Rattus norvegicus: one gene and its partners. The protein of the gene in region 4 interacts with the protein of the main gene of each other region in a pairwise test. Links are inferred from orthologs where the notes say so. Each region holds a gene or a part of one and is shown on either strand. Other genes may lie near its edges. The genes, in order: Prpf3, Snrpa, Tle5, U2af2, Thap1, Khdc4 and Scaf11.

Evidence for each region.
Region 1: the proteins of U2af2 (region 4) and Prpf3 interact in binary tests that used the Homo sapiens proteins (3 or more experiments, as listed by UniProt). The link is inferred for Rattus norvegicus from reciprocal best matches to the Homo sapiens genes U2AF2 and PRPF3.
Region 2: the proteins of U2af2 (region 4) and Snrpa interact in binary tests that used the Homo sapiens proteins (3 or more experiments, as listed by UniProt). The link is inferred for Rattus norvegicus from reciprocal best matches to the Homo sapiens genes U2AF2 and SNRPA.
Region 3: the proteins of U2af2 (region 4) and Tle5 interact in binary tests that used the Homo sapiens proteins (3 or more experiments, as listed by UniProt). The two-hybrid records come from large-scale screens. The link is inferred for Rattus norvegicus from reciprocal best matches to the Homo sapiens genes U2AF2 and TLE5.
Region 5: the proteins of U2af2 (region 4) and Thap1 interact in binary tests that used the Homo sapiens proteins (3 or more experiments, as listed by UniProt). The two-hybrid records come from large-scale screens. The link is inferred for Rattus norvegicus from reciprocal best matches to the Homo sapiens genes U2AF2 and THAP1.
Region 6: the proteins of U2af2 (region 4) and Khdc4 interact in binary tests that used the Homo sapiens proteins (3 or more experiments, as listed by UniProt). The two-hybrid records come from large-scale screens. The link is inferred for Rattus norvegicus from reciprocal best matches to the Homo sapiens genes U2AF2 and KHDC4.
Region 7: the proteins of U2af2 (region 4) and Scaf11 interact in binary tests that used the Homo sapiens proteins (3 or more experiments, as listed by UniProt). The link is inferred for Rattus norvegicus from reciprocal best matches to the Homo sapiens genes U2AF2 and SCAF11.

Annotation. Positions count from the first base shown.
Region 1 is NC_086020.1:186,089,178-186,094,158, forward strand, and holds the start of Prpf3 (U4/U6 small nuclear ribonucleoprotein Prp3), read right to left. Parts: upstream 3,251-4,981; 5' UTR 3,141-3,250; intron 964-3,140; 5' UTR 916-963; coding exon 771-915; intron 1-770. UniProt on the Homo sapiens protein: Plays a role in pre-mRNA splicing as component of the U4/U6-U5 tri-snRNP complex that is involved in spliceosome assembly, and as component of the precatalytic spliceosome (spliceosome B complex).
Region 2 is NC_086019.1:91,608,545-91,612,344, forward strand, and holds the end of Snrpa (U1 small nuclear ribonucleoprotein A), read right to left. Parts: intron 3,357-3,800; coding exon 3,183-3,356; intron 2,809-3,182; coding exon 2,720-2,808; intron 1,250-2,719; coding exon 1,090-1,249; 3' UTR 875-1,089; downstream 1-874. UniProt on the Homo sapiens protein: Component of the spliceosomal U1 snRNP, which is essential for recognition of the pre-mRNA 5' splice-site and the subsequent assembly of the spliceosome. U1 snRNP is the first snRNP to interact with pre-mRNA.
Region 3 is NC_086025.1:8,797,901-8,802,638, forward strand, and holds the start of Tle5 (TLE family member 5), read right to left. Parts: upstream 3,023-4,738; 5' UTR 2,932-3,022; coding exon 2,905-2,931; intron 1,767-2,904; coding exon of another isoform or gene 1,650-1,766; intron 1,362-1,649; coding exon 1,264-1,361; intron 741-1,263; coding exon of another isoform or gene 659-740; exon of another isoform or gene 1-658. UniProt on the Homo sapiens protein: Transcriptional corepressor. Acts as a dominant repressor towards other family members. Inhibits NF-kappa-B-regulated gene expression. May be required for the initiation and maintenance of the differentiated state.
Region 4 is NC_086019.1:77,800,293-77,804,530, forward strand, and holds part of U2af2 (U2 small nuclear RNA auxiliary factor 2), read right to left. Parts: intron 3,102-4,238; exon of another isoform or gene 2,982-3,101; intron 2,761-2,981; coding exon 2,625-2,760; intron 1,921-2,624; coding exon 1,876-1,920; intron 1,588-1,875; coding exon 1,484-1,587; intron 1,135-1,483; coding exon 983-1,134; intron 434-982; exon of another isoform or gene 374-433; intron 1-373. UniProt on the Homo sapiens protein: Plays a role in pre-mRNA splicing and 3'-end processing. By recruiting PRPF19 and the PRP19C/Prp19 complex/NTC/Nineteen complex to the RNA polymerase II C-terminal domain (CTD), and thereby pre-mRNA, may couple transcription to splicing.
Region 5 is NC_086034.1:72,609,714-72,614,506, forward strand, and holds the start of Thap1 (THAP domain-containing protein 1), read right to left. Parts: upstream 2,978-4,793; 5' UTR 2,745-2,977; coding exon 2,674-2,744; exon of another isoform or gene 2,621-2,673; intron 459-2,620; coding exon 263-458; intron 1-262. UniProt on the Homo sapiens protein: DNA-binding transcription regulator that regulates endothelial cell proliferation and G1/S cell-cycle progression.
Region 6 is NC_086020.1:176,473,219-176,476,436, forward strand, and holds the end of Khdc4 (KH homology domain-containing protein 4), read left to right. Parts: coding exon 1-89; intron 90-850; coding exon 851-1,050; 3' UTR 1,051-2,187; downstream 2,188-3,218.
Region 7 is NC_086025.1:129,482,617-129,486,854, reverse strand, and holds part of Scaf11 (protein SCAF11), read left to right. Parts: intron 1-1,067; 5' UTR 1,068-1,088; coding exon 1,089-1,149; intron 1,150-3,649; coding exon 3,650-3,807; intron 3,808-4,238. UniProt on the Homo sapiens protein: Plays a role in pre-mRNA alternative splicing by regulating spliceosome assembly.

The DNA of each region.
Region 1 (4,981 bases), on a different chromosome or scaffold from region 4:
ACGATGATCAAAGATTGTAATTCACAATGCACCACGAATAATAAAAAGAGAGAAAGGTTGGTTATCTAAGCTCTTCCCATTATAACAGAAGAGAAAATAAGGAGCGAGGAATGGCTCAGCTGGTAGAGTGCTTGCCTAGGTGCCAGTTTCCTCAATCTTCAATACTGCATAAATCAGGTGTGGTGCAGGCCTGTGATCCCAGAATTCAGGACGCAGGACAGCAGTTCTCAACCTTCCTGATGACTCCACCCTTTAATAGTTCCTCATGTCATGGTGACCCCAACCATAAAATTATTTTGATGTTATTTCATAATTGTAATTTTGCTACCGATATGAATCCTAATGTAAAAACCTGATATACATGACATCTGATATTCAACCCTGTGGAGTCACAGCCCACAGGTGGAGAGCTGCTGATGTAGAGGAAGTAGACTCCTAAGTCTCAGGGCATCCTCGGCTAGTGAGCTGGAAGCCAGGCCGGGATCCATGAGACCCTGTCTTTTAATAAAAAAGGGGGAGGAGGGAGTGGTGTGTGCTTTTAATCCCAGCACTCAGGAAGCAGAGGCAGGTGGATATCTGAGTTTCAGGCCAGACATCGCTACAGAGGAAACCTTGTCTCAAAAAAACAAAACAAGAAAACAACAACAAAAGGAGAAGGGGCTAGCCCCACCTTTCCTTTGATGCTCCAATAGGAACAACCTGGGGCAGTTTCAAATTAGTGTTTGGAATCAATATACTTGTTAAGTCAGAAGAGTCAGAGAGGTACACACCAGCCGCCTTCTTTTTGTCCATGCCCTTCCCCACACAGTTCAATGCCGCTGTGACCACCGTGGGCTCTGAGAAACCCAGCACTCTCTTCACTGTCTTCTCTATCCATGGTTTCAGCTCATCCAGTTCCCGCTTAGACAGTGCCATTTTGGAGGAAACAGAGACTAAGAGCTCAAATCGGACAAAGTACTACACCTAAAAGAAACCAAGCAAGAGTCAGAGAAAAGGAAAACAAAGCAATCAAGATAACAGTATAATAAGGGTGCTTTCCCCACTCCTATTTTCAACCCCTAGGCATGTCTCTCCATTTGATATGGAGAATACTTTCCCTAAAACCAAGCTTCAAAACAGGAGGAAAGGGTTCCATTAGCTTTTCTGAGTTTTTTTTTTTTTTTTTTTGGTTCTTTTTTTTTCAGAGCTGGGGACCGAACCCAGGGCCTTGCGCTTCCTAGGTAAGCGCTCTACCACTGAGCTAAATCCCCAGCCCCAGCTTTTCTGAGTTTTGAGATAGGGTCTTACAATGTAGCTCATGCAGAACTCAACACTTGGCAATTCTCCTCCACTTACCTAGTGAGGAATTCCGGGAGCATACCACCATGCCCCACTCATTTGATATTTTGATTCTAACTCAGCATCAGTCATCAACACTATCTGAAGAATAAACAAACTAGGAATAACCTAATCTGAGGAATGGGTTCTAACTTCTGACTCTGTCATATAAAGGATAGGCAAACAGAACATCTGAAGAGTCAATCTAGAAGTCAACCTTACTATTACGTCTACTCTGGAAGGCATTCTCTAACCCGGCTTTGACCTAAAACATCTTTAATGGATACAAATAAGAGGTTTTATTCAAGTCAGTCCTCCTGTTAAATCTCATAATCTTTAAGAATGCTGTCATTTCTCTGTAGATTTATTCATGGTTGTAAGCATTCTATATGCCAAAATGATTCTTTATTACTTAATGCAAATTGGTGTAAAATTTCAACACTATTCATGCTTACATTTGGGTACTCTTAAATCTCAAACATCTTCACCAGCATAAAGTTAACTTAATTTCTGATTTTCTTCCCAATGGCTGTATGTCAGTCAATTGACCTTAACTTCCCAGCTGACCTCCTCTTAGCACTGCCCTGTATCGTAGTGCGATCTGGGAAATGACTCTTTCAAGGTGTTTAAAGACATCTAAAAGATGCCACCTCAAATGACCATACAAGTCTGTGATCCCAGCACAAGGGGAATCAGGAGTTCAAGTCCAGCCTTGTCTACGGAGTTCAATGTCAACTCTTGGCTATATGAGACCTTGTCATAAAACAAAAAGATGCAGTCTAATTAGCTCCTACAATTGACAGACTTATCTCTCAGAAGATCTATCAATGCACAGTATTTAATACACCTGAATGAAGCTGAAAGGCTGTTCCTCAGTGACAAGTCTTATGAATAATCCTGGGATTGCTTTTTGGGCCATCATGAGATAGCAGTATACTGCCTATCAAAAAGAAAGCAAACACAGGCACTAAAGGTGGAGAAGAAAGCCCACTGAAGAGAGGATATAGTAAGCACTACCATTTATAAGCCCTTAGGTAAGCAAGTTAATCACCAGAGCCTCAGGATACTCATCTTAGAAAGTGGGAACATCTGACATAACACTCCATTCAGTAAATACTTAAGTTCCTATTACTTGTTAAGCAGAATACTTACTGCATGTAAAGACACATACAGCAGTGAACAAAACAGCCAAGAATCCTCGTGTTAATGAAACTTACGACCCACTACAATTGAGTAATAGACTGGAAAGTTTAAGCAATTTTCAAAATCCAAAGTAATAGGTGAAACACTAGAAGACTGGATGTGAGCCCAGGCAATATACTGACAAATAGATGTCTTCAAATTCGACCCGAATGTGCAAACGAAGCAGTCAATGGATAAGAAAGTTCCAATCACTACAGTTGTCACCAACCAAATAACTATAATAGCGAGGAGGCGTCAGTGTCGGTGTGGGCCTGGGGGGTAGAGGGGAACGGGAGGAAGGCAGAAGGCTGTCTTCTGAATGAGCAGAAAGCAGACTCTCATCTTCTGAAGGAATTCCTTACTTTTCTAAGCTACAAGCCCCTGAGTCCCCCATGCTCCCTCTTTACTATCTTTCCAACTGGCCCCCGCTTCAACCGAGTCCGACCTAACTCCTCACCTCAGAGCAGGTCTGCCCACCCTGCTCCTTCCCGCCCCCGCCCTTTTCCTTCAGCAAGCCCATTCTGATTCCGTCCCCCAACAGAACCCGGGGTTCCTCTCAGCCTGCTTCCCGCCGAACACTCCCGCCCTGTCCAGCCGCTCGGACCGAAGGCTATCCTCTCGGGCGCAGGGCCACTACTCACCTCACAAACTTCAGCCCCTGAGACGGAGCCCGAACGTTACACCGGAACCGGAAACCTTCCGGTTGCCCTATGGCCCGCCGTCGCTACCGCCAGAGCCACCGCCACGCTGCGGTCCCTATAACACGTGACTTGAGAAGGCGGGACCTGAGCCGCGCAGCCGCGGTATCAAGGTGCCGGCGGCCGGGCGCACGCGCGGCGGGATCCTAAAGCTTAAGTCCGCTCGCTGACTTGCCGCGGAGCAAAGCCAACGTTAGTCCAGTCCTGATTGCCGGGAGCAGAAGTCGTTTGGCAGCACATTCCCTTGGGTCAAGAGTTAGTGCGCTAACCTTATTGCTAGAACTAAAAGCAAGGACATCCACATTCGTACTCAAAGTGTCCTTTATAGTAAAAACAAACAAAAAAAATATTAGGGGTTGGGGATTTGGCTCAGTGGTAGAGCGCTTGCCTAGGAAGCGCAAGGTCCTGGGTTCGGTCCCCAGCCCCGGAAAAAAAGAAAAAAAAAAAAAATTGAGCTGGAGAGATGGCTCAGCGGTTAAGAGCATTGACTGCTCTTCCAGAGGTCCTGAGTTCAATTCCCAGCAACCACATGGTGGCTCACAACCATCTGTAATGGGATCCAATGCCCTCTTCTCGTGTGTCTGAAGACAGCGAGAGTGTATTCACATAAAATTAAAAAAAAAAAAGTAAAACCTTCATGATAGAGCTGGAGAGATGGCTCAGTGGTTAAGAGCACTGACTATTCTTCCAGAGGTCCTGAGTTCAATTCCCAGCAACCACATGGTGGCTCACAACCATCTGTAATGGGATTTGATGCCTTCTTCTGGTATGTCTGAAGATAGCGACTATATATATATATGTATATATATATATATATATATATATACATATATATATATAAATCTTTTTTTTAAAAACCTTCATGCTATTGGAAAATTCTAATTTCCATCTTACTAGGAAACAACTTCACTTTCTAATGAGTCTACCGCATATTTCTTCTAGTTCTAGTTTCTGTTGGGGTTGGTAAGATGGCTCAGTGGGTAAAGGTGCTTGCCACCAATTCTTGCAGCCTGAGTTCAATGCTCAGGACCCACAAGGTAGAAGGAGAGAACCGATTCCTGAAAGATGTCCTCTGACTCCCTCAGGTGACTGTGGTGTGTGCGCACACACACAAGGTACATAAATACATGTAATCTGTAAAAGTCAGTTTTTGGCATAGTGGTGGTGTATAGTCCTTAATTCCAGCATTTAGAGAAAGGCAGGCAGATCTCTGAATCTGGGGCCAGCCTGGTCTACAGAGTGAGTTCCAGGAAAACCAGGGCAACCCTGAGAAACCATCTTGAAACAACAACAAAGCAAACAAAAACTCTTAGAAGAAAACAGGGTTTGTCTTCATGGCATTGGATTTGGCAATGAATTCTTAGATGTTACACCAAAAACAAGAGCAACAAAGTCAACTGGACATGGAAAACTTCTGCCATTTGGCTGGGCGTGGTGGCAGATGACAGTAATCATCTCAGTGGTTGCATCTGCAGAGTGGGAGGTAACACCTACATGTCAGGTACCTAAGGAAAGACCTTGTCAACTCAGGCAATAAGGGACTTGAATGCTTCCTCAAAGGAGGAACGGTGAGTAAAATCACAAGAGGGTTCAAAGGCATTCGCCATTAGAAAAAGGACAAGCCTATAACTTCAACCGGAGAGGATAAGGCAGATAGAGTGCAAATTTGAGGCCAGCCTGGGCTAAGTTCCTAATCAAAATGAAAAAAGTGAAGGCTAGAAATCAATGTTACACCACAAGGGGGCGATGTTTTCCCACTAGTTCTGTCCCTAACTCCATGCTTA
Region 2 (3,800 bases), about 14 Mb from region 4:
GGTAGAGCGCTTGCCTAGCAACCGCAAGGCCCTGGGTTTGGTCCTCAGCTCCGAAAAAAAAAAAAAAAAGAGGTAGAATCCTGGGTAAAGATGAGACTGAACTCCCCTTCGCCAGGAGAGCCTAAGCGCTCCACCCTAGGACACCTTATCAGGACTTTACCTTCATTGCCCTAACTGCTCCTCACTCTCCAGTACCCACCACAGCAGCTCAGGCTGTCAGGGAACTCCAGGCAGCACCCCCGCTCTCAGCCGTCTGGGTATGACCAAAGGCCAAGCTAGCAATGTTGATTTTCACTTCTAAGTTTTATTCAGTATATACTGAATCTACTACGAGTGTCAGCTAAGTGCCTGATGCTGTCTGCGGGGACAGTGGGAATACTATGATTGTGGCATTAATAGAGGATTCCTTTTCACACAGTTAAGATAATAAAGCTCACATTGGGGATACTAACTGACCACTGGGTGACTGCAAACCAGAGGGGCTGGCCACAGCATGCATGTGACACAGCCACCAGGCCAATGTGGAGAGGGAGGTTGCCTCTCCCCTGGCTACAATAACAAGAGAGTCCCTTGGTGATGTAAGCAGCTTTGTCCTCCTCACCCAACGCCTTGGAGACAGTCTTCACTGCCTCTCCTCTTTATTGCAGAGTACAAAAGCAGCAGAAGCAAGCAGCAGCAACCTGCAGCACGAAACCCGCCCAATTATACACGGTGCTCTTCTTCCTGCATTCCGTGATTTGAGACCTCAGACGCATTTAATACTGCTCCACTCCCGAGTGTTTTCTTAGATTGTGAACCCACAGAAGCCACGAGATCCAAACTCTTGATGTGGAAGGAAACAAGTTAGGCAAGAAAATAAAGCGGACAAGACTGGTGAAAAACCAAACCTAAAAACTCACTTTAATCACAACCCAACAGCGCCAGGTGCAATGTCTGGGAAGACCCTGGGTACAATGCTGTGTGGCAGACACACACTCACTCACGGCTCTGAGAAGGCCCCCAAGGGGGACTTACCTTCAGGGACTGAGCCAAGAGAGGGGGAAGGGGCAGCCCCAGAATGGGGACTGGGGCACTCCGTAGGGAAAGGTGCTACTTCTTGGCAAAAGAGATCTTCATTGCATTGTTCTGTGTGATCTTGAAGCCTTGCAGGGCATCTCGTGCTGCCCCAGCCTGCACTTCATTGTCAAACTCCACGAAGGCAATGTCATGGCGCCCAGGGACCAGACGCACCTCCTTGAAGCCAGGGAACCTGGGAGAAGGGAATAACAGACCTCAGAGACCCACCTCAGCTTTCCCCTAATATTTTGGCACCAGTGACAGAGGCCAGAGAAGCTAAGCTTCCCATAATGCACAACACAAACCCAAAGGATTACGTGGACAAAATACATGCAGATCCTCTACCGTAAACAACATTAAATGAAATCACATAAATAACAATCACAATGTGGACCAAACAAAGTGCTAGAACCCCTTGTTCCCCCAAAGTCCACCCCCAGTCCCACAAACTGTCACCAATCCCTACTCTCAGTCTCTGGTTTTTGCTTTGTTGAGACAGGGTCCCTATTTAAGTAACTCAGGCTGGACCTTAGCTCCTCAGGCTGAGCACCAGGATTACAAGGTGCCATCATGACTGTTGAACTCCCTCACTTGCTCCAGGGAAATGGACATCTTTTCCGGGGCAAGCAGTCTCACAAACACGCAGTGTTTTGTGGAGATGGCGTATCAACTGTCCTGCTTCCAGCTTTATTTGGTCTCTCAAACTTCCTTCAGCATAATTCTACAGAATCATCCATACCAGGTATGGAAGGTCAGACTTCCATTAGAGGTGGAGGCAGGAGGATCACCAGCTCCTGGCCATATGAAGACTGTGCCCATGTTTACCTAATAAACCATCTGTTTCCATCACAAACAAGAAGGGAGGGGCTGGAGGTAGGGCTCAGCAGTTAAGATCAAGAACTGATCTTGCAGAACCCAAGCTCAGTTCTCAGCACCAATGTCAGACAGCTCAAAACTGCCTAAAATTCGAGCTCAAGGATATCCCACAATTCTGGCACATAGCCACAAACAGACAAATGCATAAAGTAAAACTAAGAAAGTCTTAAAGAAAAAAAAAAAAAAAGAGGGGGAGGAGAGTAAGGTCGCAAACAAACTTTCCCCATCTCAGAGCTGACTATTCCTCCATACCAGACAAGGCTGACAGCCTCATACATAGATCAAGTAACGCTCCTACCAAGGGCCTCACATAGCCTAGGCTACACAGCAGAAAATGATCCTCAACTCAAGCCTCCTGTTTGAACCACGTACTGAGATTATGTGTATACACCACCACCACTAACACCCCCAGCCTGACCAGACATTTCTGGAAGAGGTGTTCTTAGAAACCCGAAGACTAGGCAAACAGCCCTTCTCCACTCCGCAGTCCCTCTACTCAAGGCCTACAGGTTCCATCACACTGGCCGGGCACGAGGTCCTCCTGTCCCGAGTGCCCACGCCATTTTTTCAACAGGTTGCCTCAACATGTTACTGCTTTCACTTTTCCCTTGCTCTGTACCTGTAAGGACACTGACTCAGCAAAGGCAGCCCGGGACCCGAAAGACCTGCGCACAGATGCCCACAGCACTGCGTGTCCTTATGCACCTCCTTCCTATCCCACTTCACACCTTCAGGCATTGGGCACCAAACACCTAGACCTGCCCACCCAGCAGGAAGCCCCACTTACTGGTTGAAGAGCATGGAGAGCATGAGCTCGTTGGTCTCCTCAGGCAGGTTGGTGAGGAACAGGATGTGATTGGGTGGATTCTCCGAGAGCTGTGGGAAAGAGGGGAGCCCATGGTCATGGGTACCAAGAGGGATGCCGAGCACTGCACTCTGCTCACCACCCTCTTTCACCACATGTTCCTCCAACGCACACATTCTCACCTTTCTCTGCCCAGAGACCAAAGGCCCAAGGCAGCAGAGACCTGGACCCGAGTACATGCACTAACTTGGATGCAGACAGTGGCTTAGCTGCACCATGCTCTCCCAGACCAATTCACAAACCAACTTCCCTCTGTCCCAGGTCGGGTCACCACACAAGAGCTCAGCTGCAGCGCCACCTGACTGACCTAGAAGCCCATGTAACCGCTCTACTTCTCCTGGAAGATTATGCTTAGGAGACCTTGTGGTGGGGTAGGGACACTTACAGGTTGGGCAGGTGGCATCTGCCCAGGCATGAGCTGCTGTGGGGGCATTGCCCCAGGAGGGATCTGGCCAGGAGCAAGGCCTGGTGGCGGGATCATGCCAGGTGGTGGCATGTAGGGAGGCTGTCCTGGCATGTGGTGCATGATGCGGGGTGCCTGAGTCATCGGTGGCATGCCCTGTGGAGAAAAGAATTAGCAGTGATGTCACAGGGATAATGGAAGGCAAGGTCACAGTGCCCACAGCACAACGGAGCCACTGAGATAAGACAGAAAGAGAAAGACCCACACTTGAAAAGATGAAAAGCAAACCTAATTGAGCCGCCAAGAAGGAAAAGCTGAAGTTCAAGGATGAATGCTAGACCACAGAGAGCTTTTTGAAGGGGGGAAAAAAGAGGCATAATTACTAAGGCCCAACTTTGTCCAGAAGTATGTAAAGACATTGGAGGGAGGCTGAAGATGACTCAGTGGTCAAGAGAGCATGGTTCCCAGCACCTACACAGCAGCTCACGGCGCCCTATGTTTCCAGCTCCAGAGGATCCAGTGTCCTCTTTGGGCCTCCACAGGGACTGCACTCAAGTGCACAAACAGTCACAAACTTAGAAAGTTCTTACCACGTAGCCT
Region 3 (4,738 bases), on a different chromosome or scaffold from region 4:
CACACACACACACACACAAACACAATAAATAAGGCTATTGCGGCTCGACCGTGAGTGCACGAGGTCCGCTCCCCAGTCCCGAACCCAGGCCCAGTGCACAGAGGGCAGCACAATGCAGCTCAGAGATGGCATCTGCCTATGGGATGACACACAGCCTCTGTCTGCCCTGCAGGTCCTGGCAGAAGTCACCCTAAGAGTGGTCCCAGAGCCATGCGGGCATAGCCTGCACTGGTGCCTAAATCCCTCTTCAAAATGGTGCCCTAAATTCCTCTTTAAAATGGCAAATGCTGGGGGAGCCGCCCAGCGGGTAGATGGCTGGCCTAGCACCCCCTGGGCCTTGCCTGTCCTGTCCTGTCAGCAGCTCAAGGTCATCCTTGGCTATATAGGGAAAGCCTGGGCCACATAAGACCCTGTCTCAAAATAAATACCAAAAACTTAAATAAAATAATTTTTTAAAATAGAAAACTCCACAAACACTGAGGTTTACCTTTTTCTTGGAGAAATCTAAGGGTCTTTTAAAGATTTTATCATTACTATCATCATTATTATTAGTTCATTTTCTGAGACAGAGGTTTGTTCTGTACCTCAGGCTAGCCCAGAACAACATTCGCCTGACTGTGTGAGAGCTGGAAGGTTGGGCCTGCACCCCCATGCCCACTCACCACTGGATCCTATAAAACAGGTCCAGCCTAGGGTCAAACGGAGACCCGTGGCTGGGACCCCAACTCCCCAGCTTCAGGCTGCTTGCAGCTTTCTTGCTTCTGTGCTGTGCACTCCTGGAAACTGCTAACACCTCTGGGCTTTGGGGTGATCAGTTTCACACATGAGGAACCCGTCAGAAATGAGAAAAGTATTTGTGGTGGGAGTGACCAGGCTGGAGGGTCTGTGGGACACCTGCAAGCTTCCCCACTCCAAAACTGGACAGAAGGAGAAGGTGGGGCTGTGTGAACCTGGGCGGACTATTCACCCTCTCTGGGCACCCAGTCCAGGCTGTGCTAAACAGAGGGATGCATGGGGACTGGGCCTCTGAAACCGCGAATGCTGTGTGCCTCGGTTTCCTCCTCCACACTAGGGGCTGCTTGTTTTGTTTTTGTACACATGGTCTCATGTAGCCCAGGCTGGCTAAGTAGTTGAGGATGACCTTGAACTGCTGACACTCTTGGTCCACCTCCTGGGCCCTGAGATGGCTGAGGCACCCCCCACCCCGCCTTCTTTGATGCCACAGACAAGTCTACAGAGGTGGGGTCCCCAGGCCCTGCTCACCTGTGGTACTGCGCTTGTAGCAGCTGGAACTCATCCTTGATGCGGTCGCAGGAGTCGGAGGTGGTGAACTTGAGCTGCTGGGGGAGGTGGGAGGAGCCCTGCGGAGTGCAGGAGGGTGAGCAGCGCCCTGCCCCACCCACGCCCCACTTCCTGGGTTGCTTACAGGCCCTGGCAGCCAGGAAGGGACTGTGAGGCTTCTAGGCAGTGGTGATGCTTTTACACACTGGTCATTTGTGAGGGGCAGCACCCATGTGGCTGCCCCCCGGAGGAACTCCCCAGAAAGCCCCTCTAAGTCAAGCAAGGTGATAACAGGCCTCCCTCCAAAGCCAGCATGGAAAAGGCACCTAGCTTACCACCCTATATTTCCTGGGGGTACCCCATCACACCTGTTTCCTCAGGGGTGTGCTCTTCAGGGGTGGACCCCCCCAAAAGCTGCCCTGCCACAAGGAGTGCCCTGTGGGGTTCCTCCCAGGTCCCAGCCAAAGCCACAGGGAAGTCATGGCCTGGGAGTTAGGGAGAGAGCTGATGGGGGAGGGGCTTGGGGGGGCGTTTACAGGGCCCGCATCTGAGGGCACTGGGTCAGGAGTTGGGCTGTAAGATTCTCTGGGTAGCAAGGCTAGGGGTAGGGTGTGGGGAGCATGGCCACTGGGATCTGGTGTGGGAGGCGACAGATGGGCCCGGGCTTGGATGGATGTGAGGGGGACAGAGCCTAGTGCTGGGGAGGAGGTGCAGGGGAATGGGGGATATCTGGCTCCGGACAAGGGAGCACTGGGCCTTATACGGGCACAGGGTCCCCCCAACCCTAGTGCTGAGGGTGCCGGATGGGGCCTGGAGGAGGAAGGCAGCTGGGGTGCGGGGCCTGCAGCTAGAGGAGGGACGCAGAGCCAGGCTGGAGGTGGCGCTGGGCCCGGATGGTGACGCCAGGCCCGACAGGGCTGGAGGGAGAGACAGGGGGTGTGGGGACTGGATTGGGGGGTAGAGGGCACCAGACTTGGGGACAGGGCAGATCTAAGGTGGAAGGAAGTGCAGGGCCGAGGTGGTGGTGGGTGCAGGGCCTTGGACTTGGTGTCAGGCCAGTCTGGAGCTCTTAAGGAGCTGGGCCTGGTGGGGTGCAGAGCACAGGGTGGGGATGCAAGGTCTTGGGCTGGAGGACATGCGCGCCTGGGGTGAAGGGGATGAAGGACTTGTGCCTAGGGTGCTGCAGCTCTGGGTCTGAGCCCCAGGGCCGGGAGACAGGCGGAATGCGGCTGTAGTGGGGTGCGGGCCCAAGATTGAAGACAGGCTGATCCGGAGCCCGGGAGTAGGGGTTGGGGGTGGGGAGAAGACCTTGGAGTCGGGATGGGGGGGCCGGCGAGGGGAGGCGGTGAGGGGACTCAGGGCAGGGATCAAAGTTCAGGGATCCGGGCTAAGGATGCAGTGCTGGGCTGGTGGGGTGCGTAGGGCCTGGGTTGTAGGGTGCAAGGGCTGGGGCACAGGCCTGTAGGAGGTGGGGGAGCACAGGGAGCCTCTGGGACAGGCCCTGGGCGGGGAGACAGAAGGGATCCGACCTAGAAGGGGTGCAGGGTGAGCGCTGGAGGTGCAGTGAGCTGAGCTGAGGGTGCAGGAAGAGCTCTGGGGTGCAGTGCGCGGGGTCCCCCTTACCGAGTGCCGGCTTTGCGGAAACATCATGTCAGTCGCGGGGGGCGCGGGCTGCGCCCCGGCTCGGGCGGCTCGGGGGGCGCCGGGCGGCCGCGCTTTGTCCCCGATCGACAGCTCCGGGGCCCCGCGTCCCGCCTCCTGCGCCGCCCGCCGCCCGCCCGCGCCGCCCGCGCTATTGTGTAATGGCGACGCGGTGCCGCCCGGGCTCCCGCTCCACCTGCCGCGCCCGGCACTGCGCAGGCCCGGACGCCCCACCCGTGACCTTGGCCCCGCGCGCCCCGCCCCCGCCACGGTCCGGAGCCCCGGCCCGAGGCCTGCCTCAATGGTCCCCCAAACCCCCAGCCCCCAGGCCACGGACTCACAGCCTGGGCGCCCAGGCTTCAGGGTGGATTTATGGAGTGCCTACAGCGTGCTACATCCTCTTTGGAGTCGGAGGGTTGGCATGACTGGGGGGCACACTGGGTAGCAGAGTGACACCTGTCCCTCAGAGGTAGGATGGGGGTCCAGGTCTGTAACCCACTGACTGGGGTGCGGAGGCAGGAGGATCAAGAGTCCCAGGCCAGCCTGTGTTACCAGAGAGCCTGTCTCAAAACAACAAAAAGTAAGACGTGGTTTGTGTTGAGCTACAAGAGTTATTACCGGTACTGGGTAGGTTGAGGTAGGTGGAAGCCAGCCTGATGTACACAGTGAATACAGCCTGGGCTACAAGAGTCCTTATCTCAAAACATCAAGAAGTTAAAGAGGGGCACAGCAGGTGGTGGTGGCCCATGCCTTTAATCCCAGCACTGGAGGCAGAGGCAGGCAAATCTCTGATTTGAGACCAGCCTGGTCTACATAGAAAGTTCTGGGACAACCAGGGCTACACAGAGAGCCTGTCTCATAAATAAAGAGTTCCCTAGGTCCTAGCTTCTGCCCAGCACTTGGGAAACTGAGGCAGGAGGATTGTTGGACTTCAGCATTAACCTGTGGCCCAGTTTACTGAGTGAGACCTGTCCAAAAAATTAAATACACATATAAGTATATGTAAATGTATATGACATATATTATATATAATAAATAAATATGCTGCTGTGGTAGCACATGCCTTTAATCTCAGCCCTTGGGAGGCAGAGGCAGGCAGACCTCTGTAAGTTCAAGGCTGAGCCCTGTCTCAAAAATAATAAAAAATAAAACATAAAATATATGAAAGAAGAAGAGTTCCCTGGGCCAATATGATTAACCCCTATATTTCAGGCCAACTTAAACTGCAGAGCGAGACACTGTCTCCACAATTCCATACAGTGTCAGACTCAAATGGCCCAGACACAGTGGCCAGCCAGGCTTGGCTAGGCCACGGCCATGCCAAGCCCCAGTGGGGTGGTCGGGGTCCTCCCCCAGCCACAGAGGGCCAATGAAGGAAAGAGGAAGCCATCTCCAGGCCTCAAGAGACAGGACCCGGACTCAGACTTTGGTACCCTGGAGGCAGGAGTCCAAGAGGCTGCTCCTGGTGCTGACCCATACCCGGCTGGTAGGGCTTTTGGTGAAGGTGCCACGATTGGCCTGTGACATTGTCTTGTTTTATTTATAGAAACACGGTCTCGTGGAGATCAGGCTAGCCTGGAACTCTGTAGCACAGGATAACCCTGAACTCTTGACCCTCCTGCGTCAGACCAGCCTTCCCTATGACTATTGTCCTGTCCCACTTTGGGGTATACAGATCCCCTTTCTGTGGCTTGCTGACAGTCTCTGATTCCAACATGGCCAGAGCTCTCAAGTGTCATGGCAGTCACTGGCCCTATGTGGCCACACCCCCTCCCTGACTTCCCAGCCTCCAGGATGGCACAGTTTCTCTTGAAGT
Region 4 (4,238 bases):
AGGCATGAGGGATGAGCCATGGAGCCCAAAAAATTAGAAAGAAGTTATTCAAGAAAAAGATGACAGGATATGACAGCAAGAGGAAAAAACAAAAAACATGAGGATGACACGAGGAAGAAATGCCCAGTGCAGACAAGGTAGGAGAACAACAGGCAGGAAGAGAAAGACAAGCAAAGGGACAGGAAGGGCGCCCAGAGAGGCAGAACAAGTAGAGTGCAGGGGCAGGGAGAGATGGAGGAGCAGGGGAAGAAGGGGTAGGGCGGGAGGGGAGGAGAAAAGAGTGATGTGGAGGGATCTGGCCCTGGAGTCCGGGGGCTGGTTTATCAAATGTAGCAAAGTGCAGGTTGAGAAAGTCAGAATGGACCTTACTTGCCTTCGACGATGGTAGCAAACTTTTTGTTGCTACGAGGGATCTCAGCCCCACAATATTTCACTTTAAAGAGAAATGGAAACAACTCTTTGATCTCGGGATTCTCAGGGGGTGCCACGGGAAGGGGTGGGGGAAAGGGGTGGGGGAGAGGAGTGGTGGGGAAGGTGGGGGAGGTCAGGGCTACCAAAAATAAAAGAACAGCGACCATGGGAGGGATGTGGGGAAAAGGATGTGGATAGACGGCAGAAAAGGAGAGCATGTCAGAAAACTGGAGGGACGTGCGTCTGTTTGTACGTGTGTCGAGTCTCCCTCTCTGTCTCTCTCCAACACGTAGGTACAATATGTAAGTGGGTACGTTATGTGTGTGTTTGATCCCTGGGTTGCTGGAGGAGGTTGGGGAAAGGGAGACGGGAGAGGGGAAGAGGAGGGAGGGAGGGGCCACCCCCAGCCCGGCCCCTGGCTGGCTCAACTCCATCCGTCCGTCTGGGAGGGGGCCGGGGGGTCTTGCAGGAACAGAGTCTGACGCGTGCAGGTTGGGGAAAGGGAATGGAGGGAGGGGAGGCACAGGGTAGGGAAACAGGGGAGAGGGCCGGGGCAGGAGGAGGGCAGTACCTCAGTGATGCCAAAAGGGATGTTGCCCACGTAGAGACGTCTGGCCTGTCTGGTCATCTGGCTCCCAACCACAGGCACTGGCGTTGGGGTCACAGCCAGACCATCAGGAGTCATAGTCGGGAGAAGGGCAGTGGCTGGAATCTGACCCGCAGCTTCAAGAAAGGTATAAAGAGTAAAATCCCATTAGCAACCCTAAAACCAGGACCACTCAGTGTACACTAACCATACCCACCCACCCTCCAGACCACTTCATCTGGAAGCTCTTCAATCAGCCAAGTCAACTCAGCAATGGAGTCCAATACCCACTACTAAGAAGTCTGACTTCCTAAGGGGCCTGCTACGGAAGACATTCCCTCCTCCAGCAGCACTTCACATGGCAGGTACCAGAAGTCCTTTAGTTTCACCAAGCACATTAACACACACAACTTTAACCCCTAACACCCTCCCTCCACACACACACAATTGTAACCCCCACAAAGCCTACGGGAGGGAAAGGCCTACCTTGCATGGCCTTGTACTGCATTGGGGTGATGTGCTCAAAGCCAGGCGGTGGCACGTCCCAGTATTTACGAACCTTCTTCTTCTTCTCATGGCGGGGGGAACGACTGGGGAAGGGGGGGAGGGGGAAAGTGGGGCAGGGCAACCTCAGTCTGACCAACACTGGGTCTGCAAATCCCATAAGGAGCACCTTCCCAGTCCACCCCACCCTCCCACAGAGAAGCTCCTCTCTCTCCAGGAGGGAGAGCTAGGCCTGGGCCTGAGGAGGGACACTGGCAGATGAGCCTCTTTCCCAGTGCTCGGGCCAGGGTGGGGATGCAAGGCAGGCAAATTGCACAGGTGAGGAAGGAGAAGGGATTGGACATGGGGCAGAAGGGGCAGGAAGAGAAGCTCACATCAATCCACCGTGCTCCTCTTTAGCGCCTCTGGTCAAAGGTTTGCTGAGGGGTGGGAGGGAAAGGGAAAGGTATGGGGAGGAGTGACTGGGGACCTTTGTCTTCCCCTCATAACACACCACACCCAAGATCACTGAACCCCAGGATCAAGGCAGGACCGAGGAGAACAAGTAGCATGCAGGCCCCCTCGGCCCTGCCAATCCCCCTAACCCTACCATTCCCAGGAATGTGGAAGTAATGAGAAGGAGCAGGAAAAGACTAGGCCACTCTATGGAGAAACTGAGATAAGAAAGGATGTTCTTCATATATCCCACACTTCCTTACCTAAAAGGAACAGAGAGAATGAGGGGAACCCAGGAAGGAAAGATGCCTCGGAATAACTAGCCCTGAGCTAGAAATGAAAGCTTCAGATACAGCCCTCCTCCCAGAACAGAGGAAGCAGAAACAAACAGGGTTCTCCGAAAGAGCCCCAGACAGAATGAGAGAATAAGAAAAAAATAATTGGGCCCTCAAAAGACAGGTACAGCCTTAGACAGGGGAAGAGAAAAAAAAAAAAAAAAACTCATTCCCTGCCCCCAGGAACTACTGCCCCCAGCAACCCTTTGCCACTGCCAGAGAAACTGAAAGAAATCCCATAAACAGGGAAAACTGAGTTCAAGACAGACCAAGCGGCACCCACATGGAGAACAATCAGGCAGACCCAGTCTCTGACAGAGGACCCAGCCAGAAGTCCCAGGGCTCTAGTGTACCTTCGTCGTCTCCTGTCCCGGGAGGCACTGCGCTGGTCCCGGTTACGCCGATCTCGGCTCCGGCTCCTGCGCTTTCGGTCCCGGCTTCGAGAGCGACTATGACTACGCTTCCGGTGCCGGTTTTCCTTGTCCCGTTCTGGACAAGCATGAGAAGACATGGAATGAGTGAAGAGAAAGTGCAGGCCCAGCCCACCCTGCGTGCTGGTGGCTATACCAAGACCCAGGGAGGCCACCCCACCAAGGGAAGGGATTTAATGAAAGGAGACAACAGGCCTCCTGGGTCCACACCCGAGTCCCCAAGGACTCTGAAGGGACCAAAGGGACAGGGCCTGGAAATGCCCCCGGGGTGTAAGATACCTGAAGATGCTCAAGAGGAGCTGAGGAGCCAGAGAAGACAGAGGAAGCTGGCTCCTGGTCCCCCTCGAGGGCTGAGGGGCCTGACCCCAGGGTCGTCCCTGAGAGGGGCAGGGCTAGAGGCTGGGGAATCAAGAGACCCAATGATGTTTTCCTGAAGAGACCCAGCAACCCCTCAGGAAAAACCTCTGCAACCAGCTGGTACCCACAGCCCCACCACCAGACCCAAGGGTCAGGTGCCAGGCAGATCTAATAACCTTAAGAAGTGAGGAAACTCAACTCCATCCCTTCCCAACCAGGTGAATAATGCAAGAGCATGCACGCTCTGAAGGGAGGGGCTTCTTTCTGAACACACAGAAAGGAAGGAAAAGACACCTCCCTAATATTTCAACTGATGGTCCAGAGAAGCCTCATCTACCAGCACCTCCGTGCCTTACTCCCTCAAAGCCAAAAGCAGGGTGGGCTAGAATAAGGACCTGTGTCTTCACCATTATCTACTCTGCTTCCTTAGCATCTCTGCCTCAGAGGTCATGGCTACTAACAGAGCACAGCCTAGCAAGAAAAACTACAAAGCCTCAGAGGCAAAGGCAGGCAGATGGACCTAAGACCAGCCTGGTCTACCTAGCAAGTTCCAGACCAGCTGGACCTACATAGGCTCCAACTTAAATAAAAACACAACACTATAACTACTACTCTGCAGACTACCCCCTCAAGGTAGAAGCTAAACCAGGATCACCTTAATGTATTTCCTTAATTCCAAAGTACCACTGATCTCTCAACCATCAACCCCCCACCCACCCATACAGATGAACACAGCCAGGAGTGATGAGACATGTGGCAGGCTGACACAAGAAAATGAAGGGTTGGAGGCTAGTGAGTTAAATGAGATACATACTCAAAAACTCTAACAGGTGTATCCTAAAAGTACTGACTTCTGAGACTGGCAGTAGGAAAAAGCAATAAGAGAAATTTCATAGTAGATTTTAAACACACTCTACATTTATATTATGTATTTTTCTGTTGCAGTAAGTAAATTTTGAAATATTTAACTCAACTACTAATACTAAAAAAACACCTCAGGAAAAACATAACCAAAACATAACCAACCTTGAGATACTTCTATCTGAATCTGCAAACAGACTATTGTCGCTTGCATTTAATTGTCACTAGTGCTTTGGAAAATCTGTCAGAAGCTCATAAAGCAGATAAGGAAACTGAGGCACAGGGAGATCATGACTTGCTCAAAGCCCAACAGCTGGG
Region 5 (4,793 bases), on a different chromosome or scaffold from region 4:
TCCCATGAACACACTAGCTTCATAAATTAAAACAGCATTCACTCAAATCCAGTGCTTATGATAGAATTTGGAAGGTAGAGGCAGGAGGATCAGGAGTTCCAATTCAGCCTTAGCTATACGCAAGCTCAAAGCCAGCCTGGACTACTTAAGACTTTGTCTCACACAAGGAATGGGAGGGGAAGAGAATGCAGAGGAGGAAAGAAAACAAAGAAAAGACCGGGAAAGGAAAAAAACAAATCCAGCATTTAAGAACCCAAATTACCTTCTCATGTGGCTCTATATAGAGAAAAATAGTGGGCACAGCGTTCTCCTTCAGTAGCTTGTTGTTGCACTCTCTCTTAAAGCAGTCTGGAGTAAAGTGCTCCGAACAGATACTGCTGTACTTAGTGGGCTTGAAGTTTTTCCTTCTAACAGCTGCCTCCCACTGTTTACAAAGACTGGGACGAGTAAGAGGAAACCTAAGAAGATACAATTCAGTTCTCTGACTTTACTTTAAAAAATAAATAATACCCTTCCCCCATTCTCATACTAAGGAAAATCTTAACATACTAAGGAGAATCTGATTGGAGATCAGTTCCGGTTACTATTCTCACTCAGTGAGCTTCACCTTTTTATACTGAAGACACTTAACAGTTCAGTTAAAATAGATCGTATGTGGGGTTGGGGATTTAGCTCAGTGGTAGAGTACTTGCCTAGCAAGCGCAAGGCCCTGGGTTCGGTCCCCAGCTCCAAAAAAAAAAAAAAAAAAAAAAAGAAAAGAAAAGAAAAAAAATTGATCATATGTGCAAATTCTACGCATATTTTTACTAAAAATTTTGTGTCTTATAGAACAAAACTTGGACATATGTCTACATCCTGAAATAGACGTCTAGCTCTTTTTAATCACTCCAACAAAGAGACTACATCCTGAATTGGGCAAGTGACAAAGATGGTAAGGACGTTATTTTATGGCTTAATTCAGTGTATGGAATGGGGAATCCTTGTATCTATTGCCACTATGCTTTTCTATAACAAAAACTTGGTGGGAGATGCTAGAGGAATCAGAAATGGCTGAAAAGGAATGTTTCCACTTATTTTTACTATTCCACTACATAAGGTATGTGGGACCCTGATCATCATTTTCTTTATGAAGACCTAACCAATCTTCCTGCTAGTGTTTATTCTTTACACAGCCAGCTTTCTCCACTGCTACTGCACACAGGCTGGAAAAAAGATATTCCTGAAAAGAAGTACAACCACTGTGGTAGCTTCTTATAAATCTTAGTATCTCATCTCCTGGCATAGAGCACAAACTCTGAACTGTCAAGATCTTTGCCATTTACTGTTCTTACATAAGGAATAAGACTCATTCTTGTTTTTATGTTTCAACATCCAGCAGTTGAAACAGTAGTTTGATGTGTGCCATTTTTTTTTTCTTTTTTCTTTTTTTCAGAGCTGGGGACCGAACCCAGGGCCTTGCGCTTGCTAGGCAAGCGCTCTACCACTGAGTTAAATCCCCAACCCCGATGTGTGCCATTTTTAACTAGTCTGCATATTTGAAGACTCCTGGGCCATCTTAATAAAGCATAGGAAAGGGAAGTGGCAAGTCGGATGCATATCCCTGTCACCATTTCCTGATCTGTTCTGACATTCTGAAGGCGTATGAAATTTCAATCAATCAAGTCGTAGTAATTGGACATATTCTATCCTCTTCCCACAGAGAAAACACCAGCATACAACTCTTACTTTCTAACAAACACTTTTAAACAAAAACACTAGCTCCCCAAATCCCTGAGGGAACATTTTGAAATTTGTTTCTGTAATTGTTTTCCCTATAGACAGTTTGGATAATTTTCCAGTGGGTCTGATTTCTTAGCTATTCTCTGCATACAGTCAGGAATTCTTCCAAAACCTAACATAAAACTTGTAATAACGAATTTAGCTGCCTAAAAGTATGTCACATTTTGTGGACCGTTAGCATTGCTAATAATCACCATCAGTAACGTTAATTCTATTGCCTTCTTCTTTCAAGAGAGTATTTTTCATCCTGGATTCTTGCTTGCTGCACACACAAGAACAAGGCCTGACAGCTGTGGGGGAAAGCTAACATTAGTTCCATCAACCTTTCCCAGGGCATCTGAGTAAAGTGAATGCTATCGTTTCATTACTACCGTGTGTTGAAAGACTGGGGCTCATCTTGGCAATACCAAGAGTCACCTCTAAAACCCACAGATCCTTAAAGCTTGGTTCTTTGAAACCAGGTCTAAAAGTCCTGGTCAGATGTCAACACTCAGCTATCCTGCTTCCCTCCTAACAGCAGCAGCGAGGTCAGAAGCCAGGTCTCCCTCCCATGCTTTTCTAGTTCCAGTTTATCCCTATGGGACATTTCCACGGCTTGGCTTGGGACGAAATCCGGAGGGCAGCGAGAGGCTTCCAGGCGTCCATCGCTTGCTCGCCAGAAACCCTCCACGAGCGCAAAGGCGCGGCCGCAGCCTCAGCAGAGCCCAGCCAACGGAGGCGGCGCGCGCCGGGAACGCGCAGCCATGGGTCCCCGCCCCCGCCGGCCAGCCCCGTCTGCCGCCCGAGCCCGCCGGCCGCCCCGCCTCCTCCAGGTCTCGCGCGGCCACGCGCCGGGCTCCGCCTCCACCCGCCCGCGCGCCCCTGCCGCGGCCGCGGAGCACGCCAGTTACCTACTTGTGGAAGGAGACGGGCTTGTCCTTATCGTACCGGTTCTTGCAGCCGTAGGCGGAACAGGACTGCACCATCCTTCTGGCCCTCCACACTTCCCCTCTGCCCGGGAGGCAGGTGAAGGGGCCGTCGGTGCCGCCGCGCTCGGCTTTGATACGGTCGCCGCTTTCGGTGGCTTTGGTTAGCAGTTATGGGGACGATTACCTCACCGTGGGGGGTGACCACCCGGTCCGTTGTGGTGTTTGCTTTAGCAGAAAGACAACAGCTGTCGCTCGTCTCCCATCTTCAAGATGGCGGAGGCAGCTTCAACCTCACCTCTCGCGAGGAGTTCGCTCGCAGGCTCTGATTAGCCGAAGGTAACGTTCCCAGGGAAGCTGACCATTGGTTAGGGCGAGGCGTGCCTGGGGGGCGTGGTCAGCAGTGCGGAAGTGGGTGGGTCCTCTGCGCCTTGGCCGGAAGAAAGCGCGTTTGTTTGGGAGCCTTGCTTTAGTCTCTTGTAGGGTCTTGTATTGGTGAGTGTGGTAAACTTAATTCAATTTAAACCGCCTGTTGGACCCAGAAGCGTAAAGGGAAGGTGGGAAAGCTCGTCCCTGGTCACATGTAATTTTTAAAAAGGGCGGCTGCGGAGGTGTGATTTATACAAATCTGTGTTCCACGTTCAGAATCCAGATGGCCGTCTACTTAAAGAGCGAGTACAGACGTGCATTTCATTTCTTCTAAGCTGAGAATCAAAAGCACTTATTTTTTAAAATTTATTTTATATTTGTGAGTACACTGTCGCTGTCTTCCGACTCACCAGAAGAGGGCAGCGGATCCCACTGCAGATGGCTGTGAGCCACATGCGGTTGCTAGGAATTGAACTCAGGACCTCTGGAAGAGCAGTCAGTGCTCTTAACCGCTGAGCCGTTTCTCCAGCTTGGAACGTTGTTACCTTTGCGTTCTGTCTGTGCTGGAAATTGCGAGCTGTTGCAGCTATTTTTCATGCTAGAGAGAAGTGTTACATGCTTGACCTTCTGTAGTTTTGAGTCTGGGGCGCGTGTGCCCGACATCATTGTAGACCTTTGACTCTTGAGCCCGCATACCATCCTTTACTAGCCCCTCTAACTTCAGCACACATGGACTTGCCTTCTGAGTCACCATGTATGTGGTTTAATGCATTTGCCGGCTACTTAAATCTGGAACCCTGGTATCAATGAGATCAATCAAACAAACAAAACCAGGACTTAACTCAGTGGTAAAGAGCATTTGTTGCTCTTGCAGAGGACCCAGATTCGGTTCCCAGCACCCACAAGGCAGTTCACACCATCTATAACTTTAGGCAAATGGGCACCAAGCACACATGTAGGTCAGAGGACGGCCTGTGGGAGTGGATTCTCTTCCTTCCACCCTGTGGGCTTCCAGGGACCCAACTCCCATTAGTCTTGGTTCCCAGTGTTTTTATCAGCTGCTCCTAGGATTTCTCCCCCTTCCTCAAGACTTAGGTTAATCTCATAGAGTAAAACTAGTACCTCTTGGTTATTCTCTCACCAGCAATCTTGAATTCAAGTACTCAGTCTCCTACTCAACTTTTTGTCAGTCCTAGTCTCCAGCCTTCTCTCTGTCCCTCGTAAAAACACTGCCAGTTCCTTGCTTATAAAACTTAGACTTCAGAGTCTACCTCTGGAGTGAGTAAAATCCAAATTGCTTATGGTGGCTGCATAGGCAGCAGGTACTCTGTGTTTTTACCATCCTGCCCTGCTTGTCCTTCAACTCCTTTAACTGCTCAAATACAGAGTTTTGCTTGGCCTGGGATGCCCATCCCCTGACCTCCCCATGTATCCTTAAGATGAATCTTATGTGTTATGTCTGCTTCCCTTACCTTCCCCAAGTAAGGCTTTACCTTTCTGGACTTCTCTCTGCAGTTACGTGCTTATGTAATTATATCTGTGTCGAATCTGAACTAGGGTGCTCTGGAGGCTGGCAGCATCTTACTGAACCCAGTTGCCTCAGCAGCACTGTCACAAATTATTTAGGAAACATTGAATTGAATGGACCTAGAAACCTTATCTAAATTAGTTTCATGATAGTAGCTGTGTACCAGGAACACCAGAACAGTGGCTTGTTAACATTTTAAAAGGTATTGATGC
Region 6 (3,218 bases), on a different chromosome or scaffold from region 4:
GTTGATGCCTCCACCAGCCTTTCCAGTGACTGGAATAAAAACTGAGTCTGATGAAAGGAATGGGTCTGGGGCCTTAACCGGAAGCCATGGTGAGTACAGTGGAGCTGGGGTTGGGAGGACAAGTAGGGTGGTTGTTAGTCTTCTAACCTGGTGGTCGGTCCAGAAGATTGAAACCAATCTCCGTCATCTACTGACTGATAACAATACTTTTTTTAATTTATAAGGACAGTTTATGCCTTTCTATTTTTAGTCCTTCTGTGTTGGGAATAGAGTTGTCTGCTTTATATTTTATGCATACCACTCGTATTAAATTCGTAGGAAATACTAATGATTGGGAAGTAATTTCAGAATCCTATTGTTCATTTTGTCTAATTGGCGGTCATCTGATGTAGATTTGGGGAAAGTTAATTTCCCTATGTGTTGGGAGCTGAGCTCAACACCCAGCAGCATCCCGGAACTCTGCATCCTGTGCATGGGATCATTGTATTCCTTGCCTCTAGTTGATAAAAGTGAACAGAAGAAAAAATAGTTTTTCTTTTCTTCTTTTCTTTTAGCTCTTTAAGAGGTGAAATGTTAGTCTTCAGAGACTCACTTGCTAACTTTCCTTTTTTCTTTTCTTTTTTTTTTCTTTTTTCTTTCTCTGTTTTCTTACATGGTTCTGGTGGATTGTCATTTGCTGGTGCTGGCTGTTTTTCGTGTGATCATCAACGTTATGGGGTGACCATTGACCCTGTGGCTACAAAATGGTGTCCAACTAACCACTTACAATTAACATCTTTTTTTTAATTAACGAATTTATGGTATTTTTTTTCTTGGTGGGGATTGGGGTTGGGCTTGTTCTCTCTTCTAGATTATCCAGCCAAGAAGATGAAAACAGCAGAGAAGGGATTTGGCTTAGTAGCTTACGCTGCAGACTCCTCTGATGAAGAGGAAGAACATGGAGGTCATAAAAATGCAAGTAGCTTTCCACAGGGCTGGAGTTTGGGCTATCAGTACCCTTCGTCACAGCCACGAGCTAAGCAGCAGATGCCGTTCTGGATGGCCCCATAGGAAATAGTGGACAGAGCTCTGACACTCGGTGACTCTTCTTAGCAATAATGCATGCACTTGATTAAACAAGACTCTGGAACCTGTTCTGGGGGCCATCTTGGACCTTCGAAGACATTAGGGATGCAGTGTCCCCTGTCATAAAGGGATGCCATTCTTTTTAAAACCCTGTTTCTGCAGTGGCATAACATCTGTTAAAATTCACTTAGAATCACAAATTTGCATCAAGCTTTTTAAAAGTTGACGAAATGTGCTTGTCCAGTGAAATATCAGGACAGAGTCATTGCTACATATGTTTGACCTGGTCTAGCCTTTTCCAAATGAATAGCCTCAACTCTGTTGTAAAGAAAGTTTTATTTGTATTTTACTACTATTGGGTCAATTTTGATAACTGGTTATAAACAAAGCCTTACTATTTATTAGTGGGAAATGGTTTAAAGACCCTTCCTTCCATGCTTACATGTAATTCTAAGAGCTCCTCATCCCTCTTTCCATTTGGATTCTTTGTTTGGAAAATGCTGTTTTACTAATTTAGAATGGTCAACTACAACTGGATCCTCAATAGGAAAATGGAGTTATTTTTGCATTGTTTCAATACCGGGATGATCCAAAGCTGGCACCTTTAGGCACACTTGTTTCAGATAGCCATTGCTGTTGGCACTGCCCTTCCAACCTCCCTGTTTTCACGTTTCAAAGAAAACGTGATGGAAAGCTGGTCAGAGCTCATCACACAAATGAAATACTCATTTGTCTCAGAACTGGTCGCAGCGAGAAGAGAGATGTGATGCTACCAATAGGACGGTGACTCTGACTGGAATTGCAACTTGTCCTTTTTTTCTTGGCATTGTGACTTTTGCCAAAAGAACTTTTTTGTATCAAATATTGATGTGTGGAAGTGAAGGAATCGGTGGCTGAGCCAGGAGTGTCTGAGATACTGACTGTCATTTTTGCACATTTTTGAATACTTTGCAGGTTGGCTTTGTACAAACTCTGGTTTCCTGTATGTTGTAAATAATTAGACCATAATTTCATTATAAATAAATGTATAAAGATTCTGCTTGTCATTTTTCTTTTTCTTCCCTGGCCCATTCATAACACTAATATCAATAAACTCTTTTTAATTATTTATTCCTTTTTAAATGTGCATTGTTAGTTTGTTGCATGTATGTCTGGGTGAGGGTATCAGATCCCTTGAAGCTGGAGTTTTATACATAGTTGTAAATTGCCGTGTGACATGGGAATTGAACCTGGATCCTCTGAAATAGTGTTCTTAACCTTTGAGTCATCTCTCCAGCCCCTTATTAATAACCTTCTGTATTCGGAGCATAATGCAGTTTTCCTACCCAATAAAAACTTAAAATGCTTCAACATTTGCATATGCCCCTTGAGTGCTGCAAAGTATATCCTTAAAGTCAAAAAGATTTATGATTATTAAGTTATTTTTTTTTCTATTTTCTTACTTTCCCCCTTTAATGGTTTGCTTTATTTGTTTTTGAGATAGGGTCTCACTGTATGCTCTTCTGACCTCCAAGGCCAGATACATATAAAATTATAAATACATCTACATAAAAATAAATCTTAAAACAAGATTAATTAATGGGATACATTTTGTTCCATGATGTGTGTAGCTGTCAGAGGACATCCCTTCAGGAATGAATTCTTTCACTTTGCTTCCAGTGAACAAACTAAGCTCTTCAGGGTTGCCTGACAAGTACCTCTAATATCTGAGCTGCCTGGTTGGTATTCTGTATAAAAAGGCTAGCCTCATTCTCCTAGAGATCTGCCTGCCTTTGTGTCCAGAGTGCTGGGATTAAAGAAACCCACCAGGATTGGCCTTCCCCCTGGTATTTAACATTGAGTATCATTGTGTAGCTCAGTGTAGTTACAGCCACTGCCCAAAAGACATTCGAATGTTTTGTTCTCATGTTTTTGGCAATTGAACCCAGAACCTGTCTATGCTAGATAAAATTCCACCACTAAGATATATCCTAGACACGTCCCCCTTTGGAGTTTTGGAGACAGGGTTTCATGTAGCTTCTGCCTTCAGAGCGTGGTATTCTAGGCCAGCACTGTGCCACTGTGTCTGGTTACTTTTCACTTGCTCTTTATAAATTATTTTGAAGACTAGCCATGTGGGTAGATCTCTTCGGTCAAGGCCAGCCTGGTGTACA
Region 7 (4,238 bases), on a different chromosome or scaffold from region 4:
AGCAGGGGAGTGCATGTGGTTATAGGTGCCATGTGGGGATTTTCTGTGAACTTAAATCTCCATATTTTGTTGTTTCTTTTTTTTTTTTTTCTTTTTTTTTTTTCCGGAGCTGGGGACCGAACCCAGGGCCTTGTGCTTGCTAGGCAAGCGCTCTACCACTGAGCTAAATCCCCAACCCCTATTTTGTTGTTTCTTGAATATTCCAAGTTTTACACATAACCTCAGTTTACCAGATAATTCTATTCTAAGTTGATCTCTTTTCCATAGTCTCAGGTCTGTGTTACAGAATTTATCATTTAACTTGCTAATTAATAGTTATATAAAACTTCTTACGTTAGTTACATACTTTCCTTGTTTGTTAAAAATACCTGAGAAGCAATTGAAGGAAGGGGTTATTTTGCCTTAGAATTCAAGGGGATAAATAGGGTCGTAGTGGGGGAGAGGGTTGTGTGGCAGGAGTGGGAGACCAGCTGCTTACATTGATTCCACGCTCAGGAAGCAGGAGTCACGGCATCCTCTTATGTAGGTCAGAGTGTGCGGCTGCTCACATTTATTTAGGGTGATCCTCTAACTTTAACTTATGCTAGATAATCCTTGTCTACAGAGATTTGTTTCCAAGGCCATTCTCGGTCTTGTCAATTAGGCAGTTCTTTGTTTGGATGTGTAAGTACTCTGAGAGCACTGGGCTGTCGAGTAGCTGACATGGCTGAGTCACATAAAGACACCTGCAGCACACCTCGGAACCTGAGCTCAATGCCCAGAAGCCATCCCAAGGTGGAAGGAGAAACCAGCTCTCTACACAGTTGTCCTCTGCCAGCCTCACATGAACTCTGATGTGCACCCCTCCACACACACAATAATAATAGATAAATAGATAATTTTAATAAGAGTACTCAGTTGTCTAAAAACTGGTTGGTTGGCTCATTCATTCTTTATGTATAAAGTAGTTTCTTATGGTTCAAAACTTAAAATTCATAGGATTGGGAGGTGGCAAACAAACATTCTCTTGTTTTTCCCCTCTATTCCCCACCCACTCCTAAACTATTCTTTTATGGTTTGTCCCATAGGAAACGCCTTCACGAGGAGAGATGAAGAAGAAACCCGTATATAATCAGAGTGTGGGTGATCAGGAGAGTGAAGATGCGGAAGGTAACTGGCTATAAAGCCTGTATCGAAAGTCAGATAGCGTCACTAGGCTTTAAAATTAAGCTTCCTAAATTTTTCTGTCTTTTTTTATATTCTGAAACAAATAACAAGAATTAAGAATTATACACTTTGGGACTGGAGAGGTGACTCAGAGGTTAAGAGCACTGACTGCTCTTCCAGAGGTCCTGAGTTCAATTCCCAGCAACCACATGGTGGCTCACAACCATCTATAATCAAGTCTGGTGCCCTCTTCTGGCCTGCAGGCATACATGCAGGTAGAAAGCTGTATGATGTATACATAATAGATAAATGTTAAAAAAAAAAAGAATTATACACTTTGCCTTCTCATGTTTTCATTGAACATTTTTAGTTGAATTGTTGATTATTTTGTTTGTGTAGGTGTGTGTGTCTGTGTGTGTGTGTGTGTGTGTGTGTGTGTGTGTGTGTGTGGGCACATGTGCACCTGTACATGTGTGTATGTGGAGGTCAAAGGACAAGCTTGGGTGTTTAGGATGCTGTTCCTTAGGCACCATTCACCTTTTTTTGTTTTGAGACAAGGTTTCTGACTGGCCTGGGAATTCCCAAGCTAGCTGACCGGCCAGCAGACCCCAGCAATTGGCCTGTCTCCGTCTTCTCTGCACTGGGACTGCATGCATGCATACTTGGCTAATGTTTAAACATGTTTTCTGGGGATTGGCAAGCACGTTATTTCATGAACACTCTTCCTTTTTAAGATTATAACAGCATTAATATTCCCCCTGTAAAGTTAATTTTTTTATTTATTTGCTTATTTTATGTATATAGGTATTTTACCTGCATTGTATGTCTGTGTACTATGTGCATATCTAATATTAGTTTGTATTTGTTAAGACTAATCTGAAATCCTAAATGCCCAATTCAGGTATTGTTTATAGAATTTGTATTTCCTTCATTCCAAACTCATACTGGAAACATGTGAACTCTATTTGAATGTTTTGGCTTAATACTGATCCTTTAGATTAATATGTCCCTCTATTTGGGAAGGCTCCAGGTTGTATTGAATTATACAGCTCCCATTGCTTGCTTACATGTTGTTGTGTAAGTTGATTACTGTTAGGAATTTAAATTGGTACAGACACAGATTTGGCATATCTATTCCTGTGTTAGAAATATACATTGATCCCATACTGCTCCTGTATTTGGTTTTTTTTTTTTTTTTTTGGTTCTTTTTTTCGGAGCTGGGGACCGAACCCAGGGCCTTGCGCTTCCTAGGTAAGCGCTCTACCACTGAGCTAAATCCCCAGCCCCGTATTTGGTTTTTTGAAACAAGGTTTCTCTGTAGCCTTGGTTGTCCTGGAACTTGGCTCTGTAGACCAGGCTGGCCTTGCCTGCCTCTGCCGTCCAAGTGCTGGAGTTAAAGGCATGCACATTTAATTATTAACCTGGCTAGTGATTCTGTTTTTAAAGAAGTGATCTGTAGATACACTTTTTGAAATTTGAAATGATTGTGTTGTGATATAAGCTCATTGGTAGAGTACTTACCTGCCTAACATGTGGAGTTCTGGGTTCTCTCCTCAGCATTCATCGTCATAGCCAATGGCCGAAAACACATGAATGTCTATTAATAAGTTATTTTAAGAAGCAGATTAATATGTATAGTACTCCAGTGTTTGTGTGAGGAAGAAAAGACATGGAAGAATGTATATTTGGGTTTATCCTGGCTTATTGACTCACCCCTGTACTCCTAGTACCTAGGAGGCTGGGACAGAAATATCCCGAGTTTGAAGCCAACCTACATATTGAGAAACATTTGTTTTTTTTAAATGTTTCTTTGAGTTAATGTTTCTCTTTATCATTGGCTGTCCTGGAATATACTCTGTAGAACAGGTTGGTCTTGAACTGAGACAGCTCCCTGTCTCTGCCTCCCAAACGCTGGTATTAAAGGAGTGCACCATCACCACCTGGCTGAGAAGCCCATTTCAACTGAGGGGAAGGCAAGGAAGGAATTGCTTTTCTATGCATTAAAAAATATTATGTAATAAAAGAAACTGTAGGTTATTATTGGATTTAGTAGAAGTAGATAGGTATGTGACTAGGTTTGTCACTATAGAATTTTTACTAAAAAATTTTGAACCAGGTAAATAATATTTAAAATTAATTATGGTCCATGTATGTTCCCCTTCCTCACTGAAATATACAAGAAAGTTGATTGAGAGTGGTAGGGCATTTGTGTAGTATATACAAGGTTGCCCTATTTTATACACACATATACACACACACATAGTCACACAACAACACAGACACACAAATCACCCACAAACCATCCAGACACAGACACACAGAGTACACAAAAAGTAAATGCTGGTGCTGTTGAGCTTAAAGAGTATGTTTGTCATTTGACATCCAAGATATGGTTGCAAAGAAGCAAGGCTGGCCCTTTGAGGATGTAGGCAGCCATAATGCTTATAAGCATAAATCAATGGTTTGGGGGCCTTTGAAAACATGACTGTCTTTTTCTTTGCAGGTGAAGAAAACAGAAATAATGCTGATACTTCTGGCTTACTGTACAGTGAGGTGGACAGATGTCCAATCTGTCTTAGTTGCCTATTAGGGAAGGAAGTTGGTTTTCCAGAAAGTTGTAATCATGTCTTCTGTATGGCCTGTATTCTTAAATGGGCAGAGGTAAGTCTGAGAAGAGCACTAACCATAGTAATTACTGCATTTGCTCTCCTGTCATGATTTTATTTCACTTACTGCTACTGCCTGCCGTAAGTTACTTCATACTACGTTCTTTCCCTTTTGCTTTAGTCAAGTTTCTGTTTGTTTAAATCCTGTCTGCATGTTTTCTCCCAGTTGTCTTTTTACTCAGTCTTTTCACTCTTTTATAATTAATTTTACTTTAGACTTAGAAGAAACCTTATAGAAAGAGCAGGTCAAACAGCCTTCTGACCCTTATAGGACATGACCTGCTTGCACTAATAACATCCCTGTATGCTTTCTATGTTATGTATTTCAGAGAATTTCCACACAGGTTATTTGATTTCTTTCTGGAATAGTCAAAGTACAAGCCACAGTGTTTTTTCACTTTAAAGTTTAGGGATCTTTAGTGTAAA